4 linked regions of the Saccharomyces cerevisiae S288C genome follow. The gene in region 2 interacts genetically with the main gene of each other region. Each region holds a gene or a part of one and is shown on either strand. Other genes may lie near its edges.

Region 1 (4,397 bases), on a different chromosome or scaffold from region 2:
CGGGGGCATTGCATGGTATTGCACAGGACTCTACACCTTGGATCTTTAACGAGGACGATACCCCAGCCGATTACTTTGGTGAGCAACTAGCGAAGGCGGGTTACAACTACCATGGTAATGAGCCAATGTACTCAGGTGCTACTGGTGAAGAATTAAGGGCAGATATTTATGTTGGTGTTGTCTACTACCAAAGATTACGTCATATGGTCAATGACAAGTTCCAAGTTCGTTCCACTGGTCCTGTGAATAGTTTGACTATGCAGCCTGTCAAAGGTAGAAAGAGACATGGTGGTATTCGTGTCGGTGAAATGGAAAGAGATGCTTTGATTGGGCATGGTACATCTTTTCTATTACAAGATCGTCTGCTAAATTCATCAGACTACACACAGGCATCCGTATGTCGCGAGTGTGGTTCTATTTTGACCACGCAACAGAGTGTGCCAAGAATTGGTTCGATTTCCACCGTTTGTTGCCGTCGTTGTTCCATGAGATTCGAAGATGCAAAGAAGCTATTGACTAAATCAGAAGATGGAGAGAAAATTTTTATTGACGACTCTCAAATTTGGGAAGATGGACAAGGTAACAAATTTGTTGGTGGTAATGAAACAACTACGGTGGCCATACCATTTGTGTTGAAGTACTTGGACTCTGAGCTATCCGCAATGGGTATAAGATTGCGTTATAATGTAGAGCCCAAATAGAGAAATACCCTTCTTTCCAAATTGATATAGAATGGTAAATGAAGGCTTGGTCAATTGTATCATATAGAGGTTTTTTATTGAATTACTTATACAAGAGCGCCCCGCAATAGAATATATATGTATGAGTAAACAAATTTATATCTTGCAGAAAAATATCTAACTTATTATTGGTGCGTTTTATTAATATTCCTATATTTTACATAGGAGGAAATTACATGCATGAAACCTAAAGGGTTTGGAAGCCAGCGGCAACATAATCATCGACAGTCATCTCGAAGATACTTTTGTCTTTAAGTTTACTATTTATCTTGGGAAATACGTTCATATCAGATTTTGTAAATCCTCTCGAAAAAAGACACTTTCCATTTTTTTGGTTTCTTCTACTGCAAGAGGTGCAGGCTTTGAAAAGGACTATTTTATCAAGGTGTTTTATGACTTCATATGTGCCCATCACGTCAGGCAGTTTCCTGAAAAACTTCATTCGAAACTGGTTTATGTCGTCTTGGGAAAGTGTATAATGCAAATTTGAAGAAATTGATGAAATTAGGTTCCTATCCTGTAAAAAGATAATGATTGTTGCATTGCATTTTATTTTCTTTATCCTACAAGAGTCACAACTTGGGCCGTCCCTCTGACGTTTTCTTTTGAGTCTGTTCGTTGCTATAGATGAAACAACCGCTGAATCGGTTGTTTCGCCGGAAGAAACAGTTTTATAGTATTCAGTGTACTCTGTTGGGCAACCAAGCTTGGGAAGCTTAGTCTTTTCGGATTCTTTTTGCCAATTACTATAACTGTGGTCTGCACATTGAATCGAAGAAACTGGCATAGATCCTTGCCCTGCCTGAATGTTTAAACGCTTTGGCAGTAAAGAGCAATCAGAAAACCCGAATGGTTGATATCTGCCATTGCTTGAAATTTGTCCTTTTAGCAATGAATCGTCACAGGTGTAACTGTTCAGTGCAGGCAGCAAAAGTGCAGGAAGAGATTCATCTTTGTTGGTAATTACATCACAAGTTCGATTGTTCGGCTTCATATCTGACGATTGATCCAAACAAACCAATAGCTTGGTGAGCGTCAGTTTGCCCTCTTCTTTGTTAAAAATTATCCAAGTGCGTTTTCTTTCTTATGGTCTATATGATAGAACTAATTCTTCATTCAAGAAAGTTTTTGTTGTACGTAATATAGAAGGACAACTACAGCCAGTCGAAGGAAAAAAAATTCCAAAAAAAATGCTAACCTTTAGCAAGAAAATTTCTTTTGTCAAACCTCCATTTAACCTTTGGTGGTTGATAAACATGAAATGGGCAATTTCACGAAAAGCTAAACTTTGTTTTCGTCTCCGCCTAGATGACTCTACCTTCAGGAGTAATATTTACACTATTTCTTCGCAGGCATTCGTTTATCGGCTTGGCAGGTCTAGATTTTTCTCTCCAATAAATTCTTTCCAAACATGTAAAGAAGATTTAGAATAAGAAATTTTAAAATTTAACGAAAGAATATATGAGCTAGCGGCGAAAACCCGCCGAGGTTTTGCCGTACATACCGTACATGTCTCCTTTCCATTATCAGCATCCAATTTTTATCTTACAGTAGGATGTTCATATTAAAGGAAAATGTATTTAAGCCCTTTCTTCCGTTTTCTCTTTTCCATTCTCCCGGCAAGTAAAAGTGGGTATCTTATCTCTTTCACTCGACTAGTGTAAGAAACGTAATACAGATTTTGTTGCTCGAAGAGCAAGAAGTGAGCAGTATAGTACACGTCAATGGAAGCAGTTTAGAATGGGGAGCGGTTAAAGCCCGAGACTCCCCAGGTAGATTGCACAGAGGACGCGCAAGTTCTTTTAAAATCTTGCCTGCAGAAAAAGAAATTATATTTATTTTCTTTTCTTTTGCCTACTTTTGATAAGTGAAGAGATAAGGTATGGAGCCCCGTAGTTTAAACCTAGATTTGTCATTGAGTGCAAATACCTCATCTCTGCGTGTTCGGACTTGCCTTCCTAGTTTATGTAATTATTTAAAAGAATCGGGAGTTACATCATAATGATTTATAGGGTTTCTTATTGCTATATTTACACAACAAACTACGCAAGGAATGCGGAAGGAAAACGATACTATTTCATTAGAAAAACGCACCTAGAAAGGTTGAGAATGCGCTACTAAAAATTCTGAAGATTATTGTTTGCCTAATAATGGTCTTACTCTCTGATACCTTATATTGTCAGAATACTATTAAGTAAAAGTGAGATGGGGAGGCCATTCACATTCCTGTTCTTGTGTGTGGGTGCTTCAGGCAAAGAAAAAGAAGGCGCAGTGCATATTTCTGCAGTGATTCAAATGGTGAACAGTAATATTGATTATGAAAATGTATAAGCAATCATAATGCCGATGATATTATTAGGTGTATAAAAGTGTATATATATATATATATGTGGGAGGAGGAAAACTACAGTTACAGAGAAGCAAGAGACGAAAAGCAAATTTATCATAACGAAGACATGAAATTATCCAAATCCGCAAATCCTTGATCGGTCAGTAATTGACTTGGTGGTGACGCTGTTTGAATACTACTCATTGGAGAGGTATCTGGAAGGTCATTCCTTCCGGAAGGCGTAGAGATCATGCTATTTCCTTGGATTATGAAATTACTACTAGATGAATTTTCCCTTATGGCATCCGGTCTATTCATACTTTTTAATGGTGGGGAGAACATTTGGTTCATCTCGTCTGGTACATTTTCCAATTGTGACAGATCGTGTATGTTATTTAGCGGATTTCTTTCTTCCTTCTTAGTGTGAATGTTCTTGTCTTGGCGACTTCCAGTTTTAGGCATTCTCGGAGAGTTTATTGACTGAGGAACTGAATGAATAGAACTTTGCTCAGCTAGGTTTGAAGGGTCCATCATCATATTTGCTATCGATGATGGCTGAGAGTTTAGTGATGTTAAACTCAGTTGATCGTCGAGATTGCTTGCTACGGCATTGTTCAATGCACCGGGAGATGTCGCTACGGTTGTTGGTGCCATAGGTGGATACCTATGGTTTACGTCAATGCTAGAAGATCTAGGTTTTCGAGTGAAAGGTCTGTCAGTAATGTAATTGGATGATGGCGATCTTTCCGTTTCTCTTTCTTTTTCGGGAATATCCATAAAACTCGGTGTCAAAGATAGCACTTCAACTCCCTTTCCGATGTCATTACTATGTGAATTTCCAAAAGTATTCTTCAAATACTCGTTTGCCGGATGATGAATAAATGATCTACTTCTGGAAGTTAATTGATGACGAAGTTGAGGATTTTTCGAATAGTTTTCTTGTTTGACAGAGTTTTCTTGCGAACCAATTTTTTCTTGCAATAATAAGTTTGCACGGGAAAGCGTTGAAATCGACGATGAATCTGTAAACATGTCAAATAGTCCATTTCCTTGATGTTCTTGTCTAGAAGAGTTGTTATTGTTCTTGTCGTTGCCATTACTGTTGATATTATTATTATTGCTATTGTTCATACCGTTTCCATTCATACTATTAGTCTTACTATAACTTTTGCTATTAATTCTATTACAGTTGTCGTTAATGTCGAACTTACTTTCACCAGTTGCAGCGGTTGCGGTTGTACTGAAATTTCTCTCAATACTTTCATCAAATGGCCAATCGTAGACCAAAGAGCTTTTATCAGTAACTCTTCCAACCCCATCAATGTCAG
Region 2 (5,962 bases):
GAAATTTCAAGAAATAATGAAAACCTCGAATTAATCGACAAATGAAGAGTACTGCAGAACCGAAATTGAAAAAAAAGGTCGTAAAGTTGAAATGAATTGAAGTCAGAATTAAAATAGAAGGGGTATTGTTGCGGCTAAAGTAAAATAAAGAAAGGAGAAGTTAGAAAAAGCAACTCAATGATCTTGTGTTCGAGGCTATATTATAATAAGTTTAGGACTTGGCATTATTTCAGATCAAAAGTATAAAAATTAAAACTGTCCTTTATCTGTCAACCTTTTTATTTTTGTTTGATCCTTAGAGTCTAATTTATGTCCGTAAATAGAAGTTTTCGGATTGCGGGCGCAGTTAGCCTCCAAGCGGAGTTTCTATAGTATTGAAAACGTAAACTAGTAACATATATGCGGTTCAAAATTACTAGAGAAAATGAGATCATAGTTTAAAGAGACATACGTTATTTATCTGGCGGAAAGTGTATAGAAATCTATCTAATTATCAGAATCGATGTCATCGTCATTGTCATTATCGTTACCATTGTTAATATTGTTGGTGGCTTGTTCAGGATCTCCCATACCATCGAAAAATTGCGAACGCAATGTTTTTAATGAATTTTGGTCATCCTCAGCAAATTTTAAGCACCCGCTATTGCTTTTCAACGCTTCCGCGACTACTTCTTCCGTGGGAATTTTACCCTCTTCACAGTATATGAACATCAGCGGAGTTTCACTTGCGTACTTCGTGCCATGCTTGATGGCTTCTTGAACGACAGAAGGCGACGAACATTTTTTCACCTTGAATTCTGTTCCCAACGTATTACTTTGTATCCATGACCATGCACCGTTTCTGCTTCTGATAAAGTATGAATATGGCGATAGTGCTGCCATTGTGAGGATGTAGGGATTTTCGATCAGTCCCAATTGCTTTGCAGTGTTGATTATGTGTGTCTCTGGATGTGAAAGGTTCCATTCTCCATGCAGTTTGGACGCCAAGTCCTTATATTCCTCCATTTTAGCGGCTCTCGCAGAATTTAATGTATCTTTCAACGATGCGATCTGCTTTGCTGCTTCATTATTAGCATCGTCAGGAATTGTTTGTAGATACGCCAGCGTCGACTCTAGAATAGTGGATATGTTTTTGCCTTGGTAACTCTTTAACTCGTTGATCTCTTGAAGCAAGCATCTGGATCTGGTCCGCGCTTGCTTTCGTTTAGAAATAATATGTCTTATTAGTTGGTCTTTGCACTGTTTGGTGTAAAGCTGTGGGTAAAACTCAAGCGGTATATCCACGCCATTGGGTAGAGACACTGATTCTGTATTTGTTTCTAGTTCATTGAACAGGATTGTTAATACGGGTGCCACCTCCTTCAAAGTATTCTCCGGTTCCACATATCTCGCCTCTTCTTGCTCGCCACCACGAATCACGTCTTCTTCTTCTTCCTCTTCTTCGGGGTACAATAAAACGTTGAACATTTTATATAGATTAGAATCGTACTCTTCAGGAAGAAAATGAAACAAGGACAAAAACGTCTCCATTGGAGGTTCATTCTTGTTCGGAGTATGCAAAGCAGAAGATATAAAGAGACTTCTTGTTTCCCGGTCTCTGATCCCAGGACACATTTCCAAATCCACTGCCAATGATTTGATAAACGCTGGGAGCACCTCATAAAGATGCTCGGAATCGGCCAGCTTGGACCTCAATTGCGGTTCCAAGGACGACGTAAACACCTTGGCCGAAACAAAGGCTCTTTCACACTTTCGCGTGTTAACCACGGAGATGAGTTTTTGCAACTGCCAGAGCAGATGCGGTTGCAACCCTTCATTAGGTCCGCTGGCCAGCACGATCTCCGACGTAGTGGAACCATCTTCTGCCTCGCAATATGCAAGTCTGTATTTGGGCTCCGTAAACGATGAGCCCTTGAACCAGTCTGCCCTATAGTTCAAATCCTTAAAGTCCGGTTTCAAGAACACGTGTGGGAAATACACGGCCGTGAGCAACGCAAACAGCCCAAAATAGCTCTCAATTAGACTATTCAAGGGTAGCGGCAACACAACCGTAGGATCGCCCACGTTCGACTTGAACTCGTTGTGTTGTACTATACTATAAGAGGGGGGAGGAATGGATGTCTCCGATATAGAATAACGATCGTAGTTCTGAGCAGTAACCCTGCATCCGCTGGTGCTATTAGAACCGCTGCGTTCATCCGTGATGTCTTCATCGTCATCATAATCAACATCGACACCACTCACATCCGGCATATCAATGTCTTGGTCCCCGTTGTTCGGAACATCGCAGGGCTTGGTTCCAGCCACTATTTTGTTCTCAGAAATCCTAGGCTGACTGCCATCATTCTCCTCACCCATTTCCGCTTGCTCCGGCAGCTCGTTCGAAAAGATGAAGTTAACTGCTGCCTCCAAATTACCGCCAGTTCTTTGGAGGGCGTCCACAGCTACTTCGTGTGGAATACCCATTTCTAGCAGTGACTTTACAGCCTGATTATCCATCATCGTAGCTTACTTAACAAAAATCAATTACTTAAGATTCCTTTTACAGGTGACGACTCTCCTTTTCCGGCTTCTTCTCTTCTTTCCTCTACTCCGACAGGTCCTTAAGCCTTGTAGTGAGAAGTACCTTTCAACAATAGTATCTTTTACTTCCGTGCCGGGTCGCCCGGACATCACCCGCCCGGCACAGATGCCTTGGCAGCAAGCGCATCCATCGCTGCATCTCCGCCGGAAAAACAGATGTTCAGTACATGAAAAGACGTTTTTATTCGACATAAACTTTTTCAGCTAGCAAGAAGGATCTCTTTTTAAACACTCTATACAGGTGCACACAAAGGGTTGTTGAAACAGAAACACAAACGCACGGCGAAATAATATTATTTATTCGACTTACGAATTTTTCAAAGAAGTCGTACTGGTGTGAAGTGGAAAGTTTCAAAGATAGTTTGAAAAGCAGGGAAAAAAGAACATAGTGAACCTTCATCGCCACAGTGACAGGTTCAAGGAAAAAATTCACACACACACACATACGCATACGCACACAAAGCACTCAGCTCTATATACATAACAAAGAATATTGTAATTCGACACTATTTGGTACATTCAGAGGGTCCTAAGACAGCACAAATCAGTTATATAGAAAAAAAGAAGAAAAAATCATGAGTGAAGAGGAAACGGTCTCAGCCCCAGCTCCAGCTTCTACACCGGCCCCGGCTGGAACCGATGTAGGTAGTGGTGGAGCAGCAGCTGGAATAGCTAATGCTGGTGCTGAAGGCGGCGACGGTGCCGAGGATGTTAAGAAACATGGGTCGAAGATGCTAGTGGGGCCCAGGCCGCCACAAAATGCGATATTCATCCATAAGCTATACCAGATTCTGGAGGACGAATCGCTACACGACTTGATATGGTGGACCCCTTCGGGCTTATCCTTCATGATTAAGCCTGTGGAACGGTTTAGTAAGGCTTTGGCTACATATTTCAAGCATACTAATATCACGAGCTTTGTAAGACAGTTGAACATTTACGGCTTTCACAAGGTGTCGCATGATCATAGCAGCAACGACGCTAATAGTGGCGACGACGCCAATACTAATGATGACAGCAATACTCACGATGATAATAGTGGCAACAAAAACAGTAGTGGCGACGAAAATACCGGTGGCGGTGTCCAAGAAAAGGAGAAAAGTAACCCCACTAAAATCTGGGAATTTAAGCATAGTTCTGGTATTTTCAAGAAAGGTGACATTGAGGGACTCAAACACATTAAGAGAAGAGCTTCTTCCCGTAATAACTCCTCAATTAACAGTCGAAAGAATTCTAGTAATCAAAACTACGATATAGATTCCGGTGCAAGAGTAAGACCCTCTTCGATTCAAGACCCGTCCACCAGTTCCAATTCCTTTGGTAATTTCGTTCCGCAAATTCCGGGCGCCAATAACTCTATCCCCGAGTACTTTAATAACTCTCATGTAACTTACGAAAACGCAAACCATGCCCCGCTGGAATCCAATAACCCGGAAATGCAAGAGCAAAACAGACCTCCGAACTTTCAAGATGAAACACTGAAACATTTGAAAGAAATAAATTTTGATATGGTTAAGATTATAGAGTCTATGCAGCATTTCATATCTTTGCAACACAGTTTTTGTTCACAGAGTTTCACCTTCAAGAATGTGAGCAAGAAAAAATCGGAAAATATCGTGAAGGATCACCAAAAGCAACTTCAGGCATTCGAAAGCGATATGTTAACTTTCAAACAGCACGTCATGTCGAGGGCCCACCGTACAATAGATTCTCTTTGTGCTGTAAATGCTGCCGCTACCGCTGCCTCTGTCGCCCCTGCACCCGCGCCCACATCCACATCTGCATATGCACCCAAATCTCAGTATGAGATGATGGTTCCTCCAGGGAACCAGTATGTCCCGCAGAAATCTTCCTCGACCACGAACATCCCTTCGAGATTCAACACGGCTTCAGTGCCGCCCTCGCAACTTTTTGTACAATACCAACCGCAGTCGCAACAACATGTGACTTATGCGAAGCAACCGGCACATGTACCAAACTTTATCAATCAGCCGATACCCATCCAACAACTACCTCCACAATATGCAGACACTTTTAGCACTCCACAAATGATGCACAATCCTTTTGCCTCGAAAAATAACAACAAACCGGGCAACACGAAGAGGACCAATAGTGTTCTCATGGACCCGCTGACTCCCGCAGCGAGTGTTGGAGTTCAGGGTCCACTAAACTATCCTATCATGAATATTAATCCTTCTGTCCGTGACTACAACAAGCCTGTCCCTCAAAATATGGCTCCGAGTCCAATATATCCTATTAATGAACCAACAACGAGATTGTATTCTCAACCAAAAATGAGAAGTCTCGGGTCTACAAGCTCTTTGCCCAACGATAGAAGAAACAGTCCTCTGAAGCTGACACCGAGATCATCGTTGAATGAAGATAGTCTGTATCCCAAACCTAGAAACTCTCTCAAATCCAGTATTTCGGGCACGTCTTTATCCTCCTCTTTTACACTAGTTGCCAACAATCCAGCCCCAATTCGGTACTCTCAGCAGGGATTGCTTCGCTCATTAAACAAAGCTGCTAATTGTGCTCCAGATTCGGTAACTCCATTAGACTCGTCTGTCTTGACGGGCCCTCCTCCAAAAAACATGGACAATCTTCCTGCTGTTTCTTCAAATTTAATAAACTCCCCCATGAACGTCGAGCACAGCTCAAGCCTATCACAAGCAGAACCTGCACCACAAATAGAACTACCGCAGCCATCTTTGCCCACAACGAGCACCACTAAGAATACTGGCGAGGCTGACAATAGTAAGAGAAAAGGGAGCGGTGTTTATTCTTTACTGAATCAAGAGGATAGCAGCACGTCCAGTGCTGATCCTAAAACTGAAGATAAGGCCGCTCCGGCACTCAAAAAGGTTAAGATGTGATCTTTGCCTTTTTAATCTCTAGTTGTCTAAAAGTTCAAAGCACCTCACTGTATGTTTATTACCTTTGTTCCAATTACTTTTGTTTCAATTACTTTTGTTTCATTTCATTTTAGGTATCCCAACGGGTAATCATTGTTATTTATTTTATTCACTTTTTTTTCTTTTCCTCCTGATCCTTGTGATTATAACTATATTTTTACCAACTCCGGTAGTTGTTTTATTAAGTTTTCATCACACTAAATTGTATTTTCCACTTTCATTTCCACCTTCCTTTCCCCTACCTCCCTTCAATTCGTATCATAATACCGCCCGTTCTTTCTAGTATATCACAGAATAGCTACGGGGTATTGTCTCATAAACAGAAAAATGCACCTTTCGATAAACTTCCTGTACAATAATTCTATAAGTATATATGTATGTTTGCTATTAAACAACCATCACAAAAAGACACCTTATTCTTTATGGACGCCTTCAAGTTGTGCTCCTATTCTGTAGTTGTTGCA
Region 3 (4,763 bases), on a different chromosome or scaffold from region 2:
TTGACGTTATCTTTCAGGATGCGCTTATTCCATAACTGGGGTCTATATCTGGATTCTTGTTTTCTTGTTGCTGGCGAAACAAAACTGGAACCTTTATAGTCGATAAAGAATTGTAAAGGGAACTGGTGATGACCGCCATCTTTCCATTTCACCACTAGAGATTTTCCGTCCTCAGAAATTTGAATGTCCTGAGGAGCGGTCAATTTCTCGTTATGATACAGTTCTCCCGTGGTCACCAGCTTGGCACTATGGGAGGCATCTCTAAGAAAAACGTTGTTAAAGCAAACGGAAACCGGCTTGCTGGACTCCTCCATGGAGAACGTAATTGTCGTAGAATCTCTATTGAAGTATGTTTTGATGATATGTCCCCGATTCGCAGCCGCAGCTGTCGCCGCAGATGTGTATGTCCTTGGTGTAGTGGTCAGTCTTGCAAGGATTCGAGATCCTCTGCATAAATTTGATCTTAGCATCTTGTGTTGGTAATTGGTTTCTAATAATTATTTTTTCTTTTTAACTTGGAATATGTTCCTGGCCAGTTGTGAAGAGTTACCCCTGATATTTGGATCTAGAAGGGCTTCTCCTTATATAGATAGCACTTTTCCTCGAGGATCAACCCCGGAAATGTATTCCCGACCCCCTTACGGCTGCGCAAAGGTCCTTACTGAGCCATTCAAAGGTAAAGAGGGTCCGATAATAATGGTAGTTCAAAAGGGGAGAAGCGGGGCTGGTACAATATCACGATTATGATTATGATTATGATTATGATTATGATTATGGATATTATATAAACTATATTATTCCGTATAATATTATTACTGGTGGTAATGCATGAAAGACCTCAATCTGTCTCGGTTAGTCCTTGCTATCCACGTTGTCCTGAGAGGGCTTTACGTAATTGCCATCCTTCTGCTGTTGCTGCCTGTACTGTTGCTGCTGTTGCAAGAAACGCTCCCTGATCATTTCTTTTACCTCCTGTTTCTGCTTCACCCATTCTTCAGCCTTGCCCAACGTGGAGTCGACTACGCCCATGACATTTCTCACCATTTCCAGGGATTCTTTGGCGAGAATGAGTACTTTCCCATTCGCAGTTACGGAGGAGGACGGCGAGGCTGAGTCGTCGCCATCCTTGTTCCTTTTTTGCTGTTGCTGTTGCAGGAGTTGCTGCTGCAAAAGTTGCTGCTGCTGCTGCTGTTGCTGTTGCTGTTGCTGTTGCTCCACTTTTTGTTCTTCACAGTTGGCATAATGAAACGAAGCATGATGCGGCAGTGATGTACTGTGGACGCTGTCGAACCAATTTGTGGGTAAGTTTAGAAGACTTTCCCGAACCTGAGATCTTGCGGGCTCCGGCAGCGAATTTGCTGTGAACTTCGATATCAGCGAGTAGACTTTCTTGACTGTGCCGACCACCTCCATTTTCACCACAATAGACTGCTCGCTGGCGTTGACCTGCTCTGAGGCATCAAAAAACTCCTCATCGTCGTCGTCTTCGTCTGACGATGTCTCGTCCTCGCCAGCTCCAGTGGTCGTCCTAGCATTTCCATCTTGCTTGTGCAAAGGATGCACCTGCTCCTTTTCAACAAGGTCCTGTAAACACGAGATTTTATCGGAAAGCTGCTTATTGGCCAGCTTTAAAAGATGCAAGCACGTTACAAGCCTCTTCTTAGACTCGATGGACATGTTCAGCTTGTACTCTTTCAAGTTGTCCTTCCCCTTGGCAATCGCCCGCGACAGCTTCTGTCTCTTGTTGGTGAAGAACTCATCGTCGTTGTAGTCGTAATCATCATGCTCGTCATCGTCATCGTCTAGCAGCCTCCCTATTGATTTCAGTGGCCTCTTGTTGGTGTTTATTTCATCGTAGAATGTCACTACGTTACTGATAATTTTGTTACTTACGCGATCCAAAATGTTTAGCGGCGTCGTAGACGACTCACTTGCCGGCATTTTGTCAGCTTGTGAGACGTCCTCTGAAGGCTGCGACTTCTGTCTGCATGATTGTTTCAACACCCCAAGTACTTCAGCCGCTTCTACCTCTTCCTCTGATAATCCTAAACGTTGATTTTCAGACATCAATGACTAGTATCTTCGTTAAAAACACTGTCCTGATACACACGCTTTAATCAGCACTGTAAACAAAATGCCACGTTCTGGCCTGATATGCTTTCTTGGCTAAGTGCAGATCGCTGTCTTGCTCCAATCCTCTTATTAATCCCTCTCATTGAGGTGGAAAAAAAAAAAATAAGAACGCCCGATTTTACCCGGTTGCATATGAAGATTATAAGGTGCCATCTATATACTAAAACGAACGTACCATTTGTCTATCTATGAGATGTCTGCGTAAGCGTCAAACAATATATGCGTACTCTTCGTCGCTGACGGTCTTGTATCTGACCCAGGGGAAAGACTGGTACTGCAATTGTGGCTCTTCGACCTTCAAGTACTCAACTTTCAGGCCACTGCATGTACAGTACGGAATCTCGAAATCAATGTTGACCAACTTATCTCGAGGAGTAACGTGGGAAGTTTGTTGGTCGTGCACTTGTCTATATAGTTCTTCCAGCCTGGGTCCCGTGCGCAAGGGCGGCGGATTCATTGAGGTTTTCATTTCTTCTTGCAGGCGGTCATATTCTTCCTGGTTGAAGAGGGGGAACTCTGCCACCATGGATGCACACGTATTTGGATCATCTTCGTCGCTGTTGTACTGTGAGCTCTTGTTTGTGCTATGTTCTCGGTGCCCCTTCATGGTTTGTATCTCCCAGAGGAGAAAATCGTCACTCAAGTTAAACACGACCTTGCCGATGTTTGCCTTGAATCTAATTTGCTTGCTGAGGTCTATTTTATATTCCTGGAAGACTTTTGTCAGGGGAATTCTCACGTTTAGCTTCGACGTTGAGTTGGTGGGTTTAAAATTTGTTTGAATTTTGGTTACAATTTGGATTTTAAACTTCTTCAGTTTAGGTTTGATTTCAAAATCTTTCAACCTCACCATCGGCGCATCCTTTACATGTCTCTTCAACTCGTATTGGCAAAGAACAAATTCGCCATCCGGCGGTATAAATTCGATTTCTCTTGCATCTGTGGCGGCCTGCAAACCAGCATCATCGTCACTATTCTTTTCTTCATCTTTTTCAATAGTGTTTATGGAATCTAGTGAAACACACTGATGAAAGCTGGAATTCGACATGAACTGGGGGTCCCTGTTCAGTATCTTGTTTATGGATATTTTCAGTTTGGGCATCCCTGATAAATAGCATCTGCACACAATCTCTCCATGTATCAGATTTTTCCTAATCACTCCTTTTTCAAAATCCATCAAGTACTGAACACGTTCAATAACATCAAGAAAGAACTCGTTTTTGGCGTAATGTATCCCCTTTGTTCTCCATGATATGGGCATTATAATCGTCTTCGCAATATCGCCATTGATGTATAAATCATTACCGTCATTGGGGAGCTCGTCATTAGCGGCTTCTTTACCGGTATCATTCTTGTTCCTTAGTGTCTCCTTGACAGTTTCCACCACGTTTATGCCCCTATTTTCTTTATTGTTTACCATTATACTTTTTAATTTACTTTTGCCCACGCTTTTCCCTTTAGTGCCCTTTTTCTTCTTCCTTTTCTTCTTCTTATCCTTCCTCTTATTAGTATTGCTGTACTCGCTATCGCTATCGCTACCGCTACTACTACTGCTCTCTTCACCAGGGCTCCACTCCTCATTGTCTACTGTAACTCTTGGTACGTTGACCTTCACACGAATGTAGTCCTTGATGATACTTGGATCCGTCACTTGTACGATACCAAAGTCTATACATTCATCAATCAACTCCAGGACAAGTAAGATGTTGTCCAGTATGACATTCTTAGTTAAGACCTCGATTTCAAAATATTTTTGTAAAAGATGATAAAATTGTTCCAAAAAGGCTAGTATAGTCATTAAGTCTATATTTGGTTTGTCTGTGGTATGTATCACTGAAACGAAATGCAGAAAGTCTCTCTTCAAATGTATAAAGAACCAATCGTTTTGGGAGAGAATTGGAGGCGACCCGTCATGATAACATTGTTTGAAACTTGAAAGAACCGACGATAGATTCGGTAGTGCTCTAATATTCTTCGATACCAATGGCTCCAGATTTTCATCCAGGATAAAAAGGCTTGACGACATGCCTTTCCTTCCTGATTTCCTCTTTACTATTTTTGGGTCCCTTTATTTGCTTTTTGTCCAAGGCATTCTCAATTTTCCAATCTGGAATTTAAGCCCTTCCAGTTATAAAACAGTAAACACAACCTACCAAAAGCAGAAAGAAACCAAAGTAAGAATACAATGCACAACAAGATTGTTAGAATCGCGTCCAGTGCACTCACAGGGGGCAAACTACTCGAGAAGCTAAAACCCTTGACCCGTTGGGAAGTTCAATGGGACCCTAATAAGACCAAATGTTTGGGAATAACAAGAGAGGTAACATTCAAGGACTACGAAACCACATGGGCCTTTTTGACTCGTGTATCGATGAGATCTCATCTATGGGGCCACCATCCCCTGATTCACACAAGTTACACCTGGGTCAAGCTGGAACTTCATACGCATGACATAGACCCGAAAGACGGGGCTCACAGCCAGCTTAGCGATATAGACGTCCGGATGGCCAAGAGAATAGATTCCTACATCGATGAGATGACAACTTGATAAGGCAGGGCAGGTCTAAAAGGCTATTGCTCTTTCCATTTTTTTTTTCCTATCGATTTTACTACTAGAAATTTTTGCTACC
Region 4 (7,458 bases), on a different chromosome or scaffold from region 2:
ATTTCGCCGTTTACAAGTAGCTGAAAAGTCCATCTATCGAATTATGAATGATACTATTTTAAATATAGTCGTTGCTGCACTCGTTTTCCATGTTCTTTTTATCCACACATCCGATGTTTTACTTACAGTTGAGCATCTCAGGGCCAGCGACAAATATAAACATATTATACTCAAAATGAAGCTCGTTGAAAAGAGGATATTTCTTAACCTCTTTTACAGTGCTTTCAACACCTTTTCATCTGTGTGCCATGTCAGATTAAGGATGCTCAACTTTTCGAATTATTATTACAAATTTCAAAGAAATTACTAGTCCTTTTTGTCCCCTAATGTATCCCTCATTTCATACCGTCGTTTTGGGGTTCCAACTACGTATAGCTTTCAAGTGTGGTTTTACGGTAAGAACAACCCCCCATCGGTTAGTGCGGAATACTTTCCTATTCTCATCGAGAGCCGAGCCATACACCTAAGGTGGACAGAAAGCTAAAATTCCAAAACAGAAAAATCTAACATCTTTGCTCCCTTACAAGTAGGAACGCTAGCGTATCAACCCATCTCCAGATTTGCCCAGCATTTCTGTAGAACACCCAATGCGAATGAAGACTAATGAATATTGTAAAGACAAAAAATAGGAAAAGTTTAATTAGTGATGGTTCTCACCACCCCAAAACGGTCACTTGCATGCATTGAGGACATGCACCTGCAGTACTTGTTTTTCTCGAATGTTTTTTACCATCTCTTTTTTCCTTATCTGAGCTGCTGACGCAGACGGACATTGTTTCATATTTCGAAAGCTGTGCGGGAAAACGGACCCTAACACGAATGTGAATGCGCTAATCGGTATTTCCACCACATGAAACCTGCTACTTTTTCAGTCCTCTTCGTATGCATTTCCCAAAATTCATTCGTAGCCTTGTCAACTTAGACTCAGTTCCACGGCGTGCAGGACGGGGTATTATGAATAAAAGGATCCACGGGTGAGATTTGTTTTATGTTTTAGGTATGGAGTTTTGTACCACAAAACTTTAGGAATACCGGATTGTGTGCCTACGCCAGCCCCAGAGTATGTTCTCACAGCTGTAATTCCTAGTGATCTTTTCCTGACTCCAATAGGAACGCCGGTAGGCAAATTAAACTTTCGCGGCAGGAAAAAAAAGGCTTTTTCTTTTTTGCCTTTCAGTTTCTCGGAATGTGGCATTACATAAGCATAATCCTTTTTGGGTGTGCCTGGAAAGTTCAAATTAAGGTTTTTTTCTTCTGTTTTCTTAACAAGAAAATGTCGCCCAAAGAGTTTCGGCCGTTATTTTCCTATCGAGTGGGTCCTTTTTGTCTTTAGTCCTTCTCTGGGGCTAGCGATCACTGCAAAATTAGGCTTTACTGGTACGAGTTAACTTTTTTTCTTTTTTTTGTCATCCTTTTCTTTGGGGCTAAGAATGGACTTCCCTTTTCTTTTTCTTTGTTGCGACAGTGGCTTCAAAGAACTGCTGATTGCTCAAGGCAATCAGTCCGAGCGTTTAGAAGGTGATTGTAGGCAGAAATTAACTTTGCGGTAAAAGAATGACATTCTTTCTTAAAAGAAAAATTAGCTTTTTTTTGTCAGGCATTGCACAAACTTTTTTATTTCTGCCTATACTCTTAAACAGATCAGTCATTCATGTTGTCTTTTTAACGGTCGTACTGGGACATCGCATACCTTGGGATTCCGTAATTAGGTGCAACAATACGGGCACAACTCATTCTGCGGTATCTTCACGGACAGAACTTCTATTGCCTATCGGTGGTGTGATTAACAATTGGAAGCGCAGAGCTTGGAATGGATTTTCAATTCAATGGATTTGGAGGTATTCGTTTGTTTACTAATATTTACTTTGAGGACATTGCCCAACCCTAAAAGTGCCTGCTCAAGAATAGAATAACATTATGATACGTTTTCTTGACCGCTGAGCAATTTAAAGCAACTATTAGGGTACGATTGTTTCTAGAGAAATGTGGGTCATCTTTTTAGGTCCGTTCTCTTCTGATGAGGTAACCTTTACAAAAATGTCATAGAGTTACCAATTGGGATTCAAGGCATCATCGCAATATACTTCGTTCTTTTACGGAGAAATTAAGCTCTTTCTACTTTGAATTAACTGTTAGACTTGTCTTATCTGAGGAATGTCCGTGTTCGAATTAAATAAAAAATTAGGGCAGTTTTATTTACCTTAACAAATATGTTCAAGCATTTACGTTACTGCGCTCTCTTCTAGTTCAAGAACGGATAACTCATAGACTTACCAGTACAAATTGTTGAAGGGTTCCCAATTGATAAAAAGGATCTCTTGCTTCCTAAAATAAACGTATAAAAAGCACCCTATTCATCAGTTATTATCCCTCGTCATGTTGTGGTTCTAATTAAAATATACTTTTGTAGGCCTCAAAAATCCATATACGCACACTATGCAAAGACCATTTCTACTCGCTTATTTGGTCCTTTCGCTTCTATTTAACTCGGCTTTGGGTTTTCCAACTGCACTAGTTCCAAGAGGATCCTCCGAAGGAACTAGCTGTAATTCTATCGTTAATGGCTGTCCCAACTTAGACTTCAATTGGCACATGGACCAGCAAAATATCATGCAGTATACTTTGGATGTGACTTCCGTTTCTTGGGTTCAAGACAACACATACCAAATCACTATTCATGTCAAAGGTAAAGAAAATATTGACCTGAAGTATCTATGGTCTTTGAAAATCATTGGTGTCACTGGTCCAAAAGGTACCGTCCAACTATACGGTTACAACGAAAATACCTATTTGATTGACAACCCAACTGATTTCACAGCCACTTTTGAAGTTTATGCCACACAAGATGTCAACAGCTGTCAGGTGTGGATGCCTAACTTCCAAATTCAATTCGAGTATTTGCAAGGTAGTGCCGCTCAATATGCAAGCTCCTGGCAATGGGGAACTACATCTTTTGATTTGTCTACTGGTTGTAACAACTATGACAATCAAGGCCACTCTCAAACGGATTTCCCAGGCTTCTATTGGAACATAGATTGTGACAATAATTGTGGCGGTACGAAGTCATCTACCACTACATCTAGCACTTCCGAGTCATCTACCACTACATCTAGCACTTCCGAGTCATCTACCACTACATCTAGCACTTCCGAGTCATCTACCACTACATCTAGCACTTCCGAGTCATCTACATCATCATCAACCACCGCTCCTGCTACACCAACCACTACCTCATGCACTAAGGAAAAGCCTACACCCCCAACCACTACCTCATGCACAAAGGAAAAGCCTACACCTCCTCATCACGACACCACTCCATGTACAAAGAAGAAAACTACCACATCTAAGACATGCACTAAGAAGACTACTACTCCAGTACCAACCCCATCAAGCTCTACTACTGAAAGTTCTTCTGCTCCAGTACCAACTCCATCCAGCTCTACTACTGAAAGCTCTTCTGCTCCAGTAACCAGCTCTACCACTGAAAGCTCTTCTGCTCCAGTACCAACCCCATCAAGCTCTACTACTGAAAGCTCTTCTGCTCCAGTAACCAGCTCTACCACTGAAAGCTCTTCTGCTCCAGTAACCAGCTCTACCACTGAAAGCTCTTCTGCTCCAGTACCAACTCCATCCAGCTCTACTACTGAAAGCTCTTCTGCTCCAGTAACCAGCTCTACCACTGAAAGCTCTTCTGCTCCAGTAACCAGCTCTACCACTGAAAGCTCTTCTGCTCCAGTAACCAGCTCTACCACTGAAAGCTCTTCTGCTCCAGTAACCAGCTCTACCACTGAAAGCTCTTCTGCTCCAGTACCAACTCCATCCAGCTCTACTACTGAAAGCTCTTCTGCTCCAGTAACCAGCTCTACCACTGAAAGCTCTTCTGCTCCAGTACCAACTCCATCCAGCTCTACTACTGAAAGCTCTTCTGCTCCAGTAACCAGCTCTACCACTGAAAGCTCTTCTGCTCCAGTACCAACTCCATCCAGCTCTACTACTGAAAGCTCTTCTGCTCCAGCTCCAACCCCATCAAGCTCCACCACTGAAAGCTCTTCTGCTCCAGTAACCAGCTCTACCACTGAAAGCTCTTCTGCTCCAGTACCAACTCCATCCAGCTCTACTACTGAAAGCTCTTCTACTCCAGTAACCAGCTCCACCACTGAAAGCTCTTCTGCTCCAGTGCCAACTCCATCAAGCTCTACTACTGAAAGCTCTTCTGCTCCAGTACCAACTCCATCAAGCTCTACTACTGAAAGCTCTTCTGCTCCAGCTCCAACCCCATCAAGCTCTACTACTGAAAGCTCTTCTGCTCCAGTAACCAGCTCTACCACTGAAAGCTCTTCTGCTCCAGTACCAACTCCATCCAGCTCTACTACTGAAAGCTCTTCTGCTCCAGTACCAACCCCATCCAGCTCTACTACTGAAAGCTCTTCTGCTCCAGTACCAACTCCATCCAGCTCTACTACTGAAAGCTCTTCTGCTCCAGTAACCAGCTCTACCACTGAAAGCTCTTCTGCTCCAGTAACCAGCTCTACCACTGAAAGCTCTTCTGCTCCAGTACCAACTCCATCCAGCTCTACTACTGAAAGCTCTTCTGCTCCAGTACCAACTCCATCCAGCTCTACTACTGAAAGCTCTTCTGCTCCAGTACCAACTCCATCCAGCTCTACTACTGAAAGCTCTTCTGCTCCAGTAACCAGCTCTACCACTGAAAGCTCTTCTGCTCCAGTACCAACTCCATCCAGCTCTACTACTGAAAGCTCTTCTGCTCCAGTGCCAACTCCATCCAGCTCTACTACCGAAAGCTCTTCTGCTCCAGTACCAACCCCATCAAGCTCTACTACTGAAAGCTCTGTAGCACCAGTACCAACCCCATCTTCCTCTAGCAACATCACTTCCTCCGCTCCATCTTCAACCCCATTCAGCTCTAGCACTGAAAGCTCTTCTGTTCCAGTACCAACCCCATCAAGCTCTACTACTGAAAGCTCTTCTGCTCCAGTATCCAGCTCCACCACTGAAAGCTCTGTAGCACCAGTACCAACCCCATCTTCCTCTAGCAACATCACTTCCTCCGCTCCATCTTCAATTCCATTCAGCTCTACTACTGAAAGCTTTTCTACTGGCACTACTGTCACTCCATCATCATCCAAATACCCTGGCAGTCAAACAGAAACCTCTGTTTCTTCTACAACCGAAACTACCATTGTTCCAACTAAAACTACGACTTCTGTCACTACACCATCAACAACCACTATTACCACTACGGTTTGCTCTACAGGAACAAACTCTGCCGGTGAAACTACCTCTGGATGCTCTCCAAAGACCGTTACAACTACTGTTCCAACTACAACTACGACTTCTGTCACTACATCATCAACAACCACTATTACTACTACAGTTTGCTCTACAGGAACAAACTCTGCCGGTGAAACTACCTCTGGATGCTCTCCAAAGACCATTACAACTACTGTTCCATGTTCAACCAGTCCAAGCGAAACCGCCTCGGAATCAACAACCACTTCACCTACCACACCTGTAACTACAGTTGTCTCAACCACCGTCGTTACTACTGAGTATTCTACTAGTACAAAACCAGGTGGTGAAATTACAACTACATTTGTCACCAAAAACATTCCAACCACTTACCTAACCACAATTGCTCCAACTCCATCAGTCACTACGGTTACCAATTTCACCCCAACCACTATTACTACTACGGTTTGCTCTACAGGTACAAACTCTGCCGGTGAAACTACCTCTGGATGCTCTCCAAAGACTGTCACAACCACTGTTCCTTGTTCAACTGGTACTGGCGAATACACTACTGAAGCTACCACCCTTGTTACAACAGCTGTCACAACCACCGTTGTTACCACTGAATCCTCTACGGGTACTAACTCCGCTGGTAAGACGACAACTGGTTACACAACAAAGTCTGTACCAACCACCTATGTAACCACTTTGGCTCCAAGTGCACCAGTAACTCCTGCCACTAATGCCGTACCAACTACAATAACCACTACTGAATGTTCTGCTGCTACAAACGCTGCCGGTGAAACTACATCTGTATGCTCTGCTAAGACTATCGTAAGTTCTGCAAGCGCAGGCGAAAACACTGCACCTTCGGCTACCACCCCTGTCACGACGGCTATTCCAACCACAGTTATTACCACTGAGTCATCTGTTGGTACTAACTCCGCTGGCGAAACAACAACTGGTTACACAACCAAGTCCATCCCAACCACTTACATAACCACTTTGATTCCAGGTTCAAATGGTGCCAAGAATTACGAAACTGTGGCCACAGCAACCAACCCTATTTCAATCAAGACTACATCCCAACTAGCTACAACAGCTTCTGCTTCTAGCGTGGCTCCCGTTGTCACATCTCCATCTCTAACTGGTCCACTACAATCTGCTTCTGGTTCTGCAGTCGCTACATACTCTGTTCCTTCTATCTCGAGTACTTACCAAGGTGCTGCTAATATCAAGGTTCTTGGAAACTTTATGTGGTTGCTACTCGCTCTTCCAGTTGTATTCTAATGATACAATTCCAACATGTTCGTTTCTTCATTACGATGTTTTCATTCTTAAATTAAGATATTATTTCGATACCCTCTTTACTTTCTTCCACCATTCTGTTTTCGCTGCCATAATTTTGTAAGGCAGAAAACTACCCGTAGAATACATATTCATTTACATATTTTTTAGTTCTTCAAAAATTATCTTTTACCTTTTTTTACTTTATTTTACCATTTTTCTTCTAGCCCTATTTTGACCATCTGATAGCTTATTCAAGAACAAGTACCGGTAGTATTGGCACCGCGCCACTTTTCCCTCTCGCTTTTTTTTTTTTTCTTTTTGCCAAGCGCCTGCACGTTCTTTTGTCTGGAGTCTTGGAAAATGATAACCACCAAAAATCATCCCACGGACGGCTTGAGTAAAAATGTTTTTCCGCGAGACGGAAAGAGACGTAACAACCTTACATTTTTCCTAAAAGATTAATAAACCTGATATTGCCTTGGCACAACTAATAATCTTCGACCAGGCTTTGATGAATAAGAGGATCTTTACAGGCACCTTTGCTCTTTGAACAAAGAATATTTCCTTCTTTCTATGTGAGTTTACTGGAGTAATGCTTATATTATTCGCGTCCCCCCACGCTAACCTTAATGTGCCTAGATATCATGGGTTATTTAATGACAAGTCCGCTAGTGTCATCAACCCACTCTGTCTTTCATTTAAGATTCGCGAGATAGAACGACATCTTCAATTTAAACTTTTTAGGTGACGTTTCTCTTCTTTATTTCCTAAACAGAGCACCGAGACTTACGATTTTGGCGGGCCAACCTTAAAAAAAAGCTAAAAAAGTTAAATTTTGACATGAAGTCTCGTTAGAAATTCTTGAGGACGATGTAGATTTCCACGATTGATCCTCTCTTCAGGGCCGATTGTCTTCGC

The links.
Region 1: mutations in SFL1 (region 2) and SUT2 together harm fitness more than expected from each alone (negative genetic interaction), as found in Saccharomyces cerevisiae (2 studies listed by BioGRID).
Region 3: mutations in SFL1 (region 2) and OPI1 together harm fitness more than expected from each alone (negative genetic interaction), as found in Saccharomyces cerevisiae (3 studies listed by BioGRID).
Region 4: of SFL1 (region 2) and FLO11, changing one suppresses a phenotype caused by changing the other (phenotypic suppression), as found in Saccharomyces cerevisiae (2 studies listed by BioGRID).

Annotation. Positions count from the first base shown.
Region 1 is NC_001148.4:573,889-578,285, reverse strand, and holds SUT2 (Sut2p), read right to left. Parts: upstream 1,735-4,397; coding exon 928-1,734; downstream 1-927. Other genes in the region: DNA-directed RNA polymerase I core subunit RPA135, read left to right, coding at 1-701; HAA1 (Haa1p), read right to left, coding at 3,184-4,397. UniProt on the Saccharomyces cerevisiae protein: Putative transcription factor involved in the regulation of the activity of the cAMP/protein kinase A pathway. Involved in sterol uptake.
Region 2 is NC_001147.6:583,823-589,784, forward strand, and holds SFL1 (Sfl1p), read left to right. Parts: upstream 1-3,158; coding exon 3,159-5,459; downstream 5,460-5,962. Other genes in the region: RUP1 (Rup1p), read right to left, coding at 487-2,502. UniProt on the Saccharomyces cerevisiae protein: Involved in cell surface assembly and regulation of the gene related to flocculation (asexual cell aggregation). Mutations in SFL1 causes constitutive cell aggregation.
Region 3 is NC_001140.6:65,390-70,152, forward strand, and holds OPI1 (transcriptional regulator OPI1), read right to left. Parts: upstream 2,068-4,763; coding exon 853-2,067; downstream 1-852. Other genes in the region: AIM17 (Aim17p), read right to left, coding at 1-470; APM2 (Apm2p), read right to left, coding at 2,342-4,159; MCO14 (4a-hydroxytetrahydrobiopterin dehydratase), read left to right, coding at 4,319-4,681. UniProt on the Saccharomyces cerevisiae protein: Negative regulator of the transcriptional complex INO2-INO4 in response to phospholipid precursor availability.
Region 4 is NC_001141.2:388,654-396,111, reverse strand, and holds FLO11 (Flo11p), read left to right. Parts: upstream 1-2,436; coding exon 2,437-6,540; downstream 6,541-7,458. Other genes in the region: YIR020C (uncharacterized protein), read left to right, coding at 1,555-1,857. UniProt on the Saccharomyces cerevisiae protein: Homophilic binding protein that enables kin discrimination in heterogeneous yeast populations by mediating homotypic cell-cell interactions during flocculation, a reversible and asexual process in which cells adhere to form aggregates (flocs).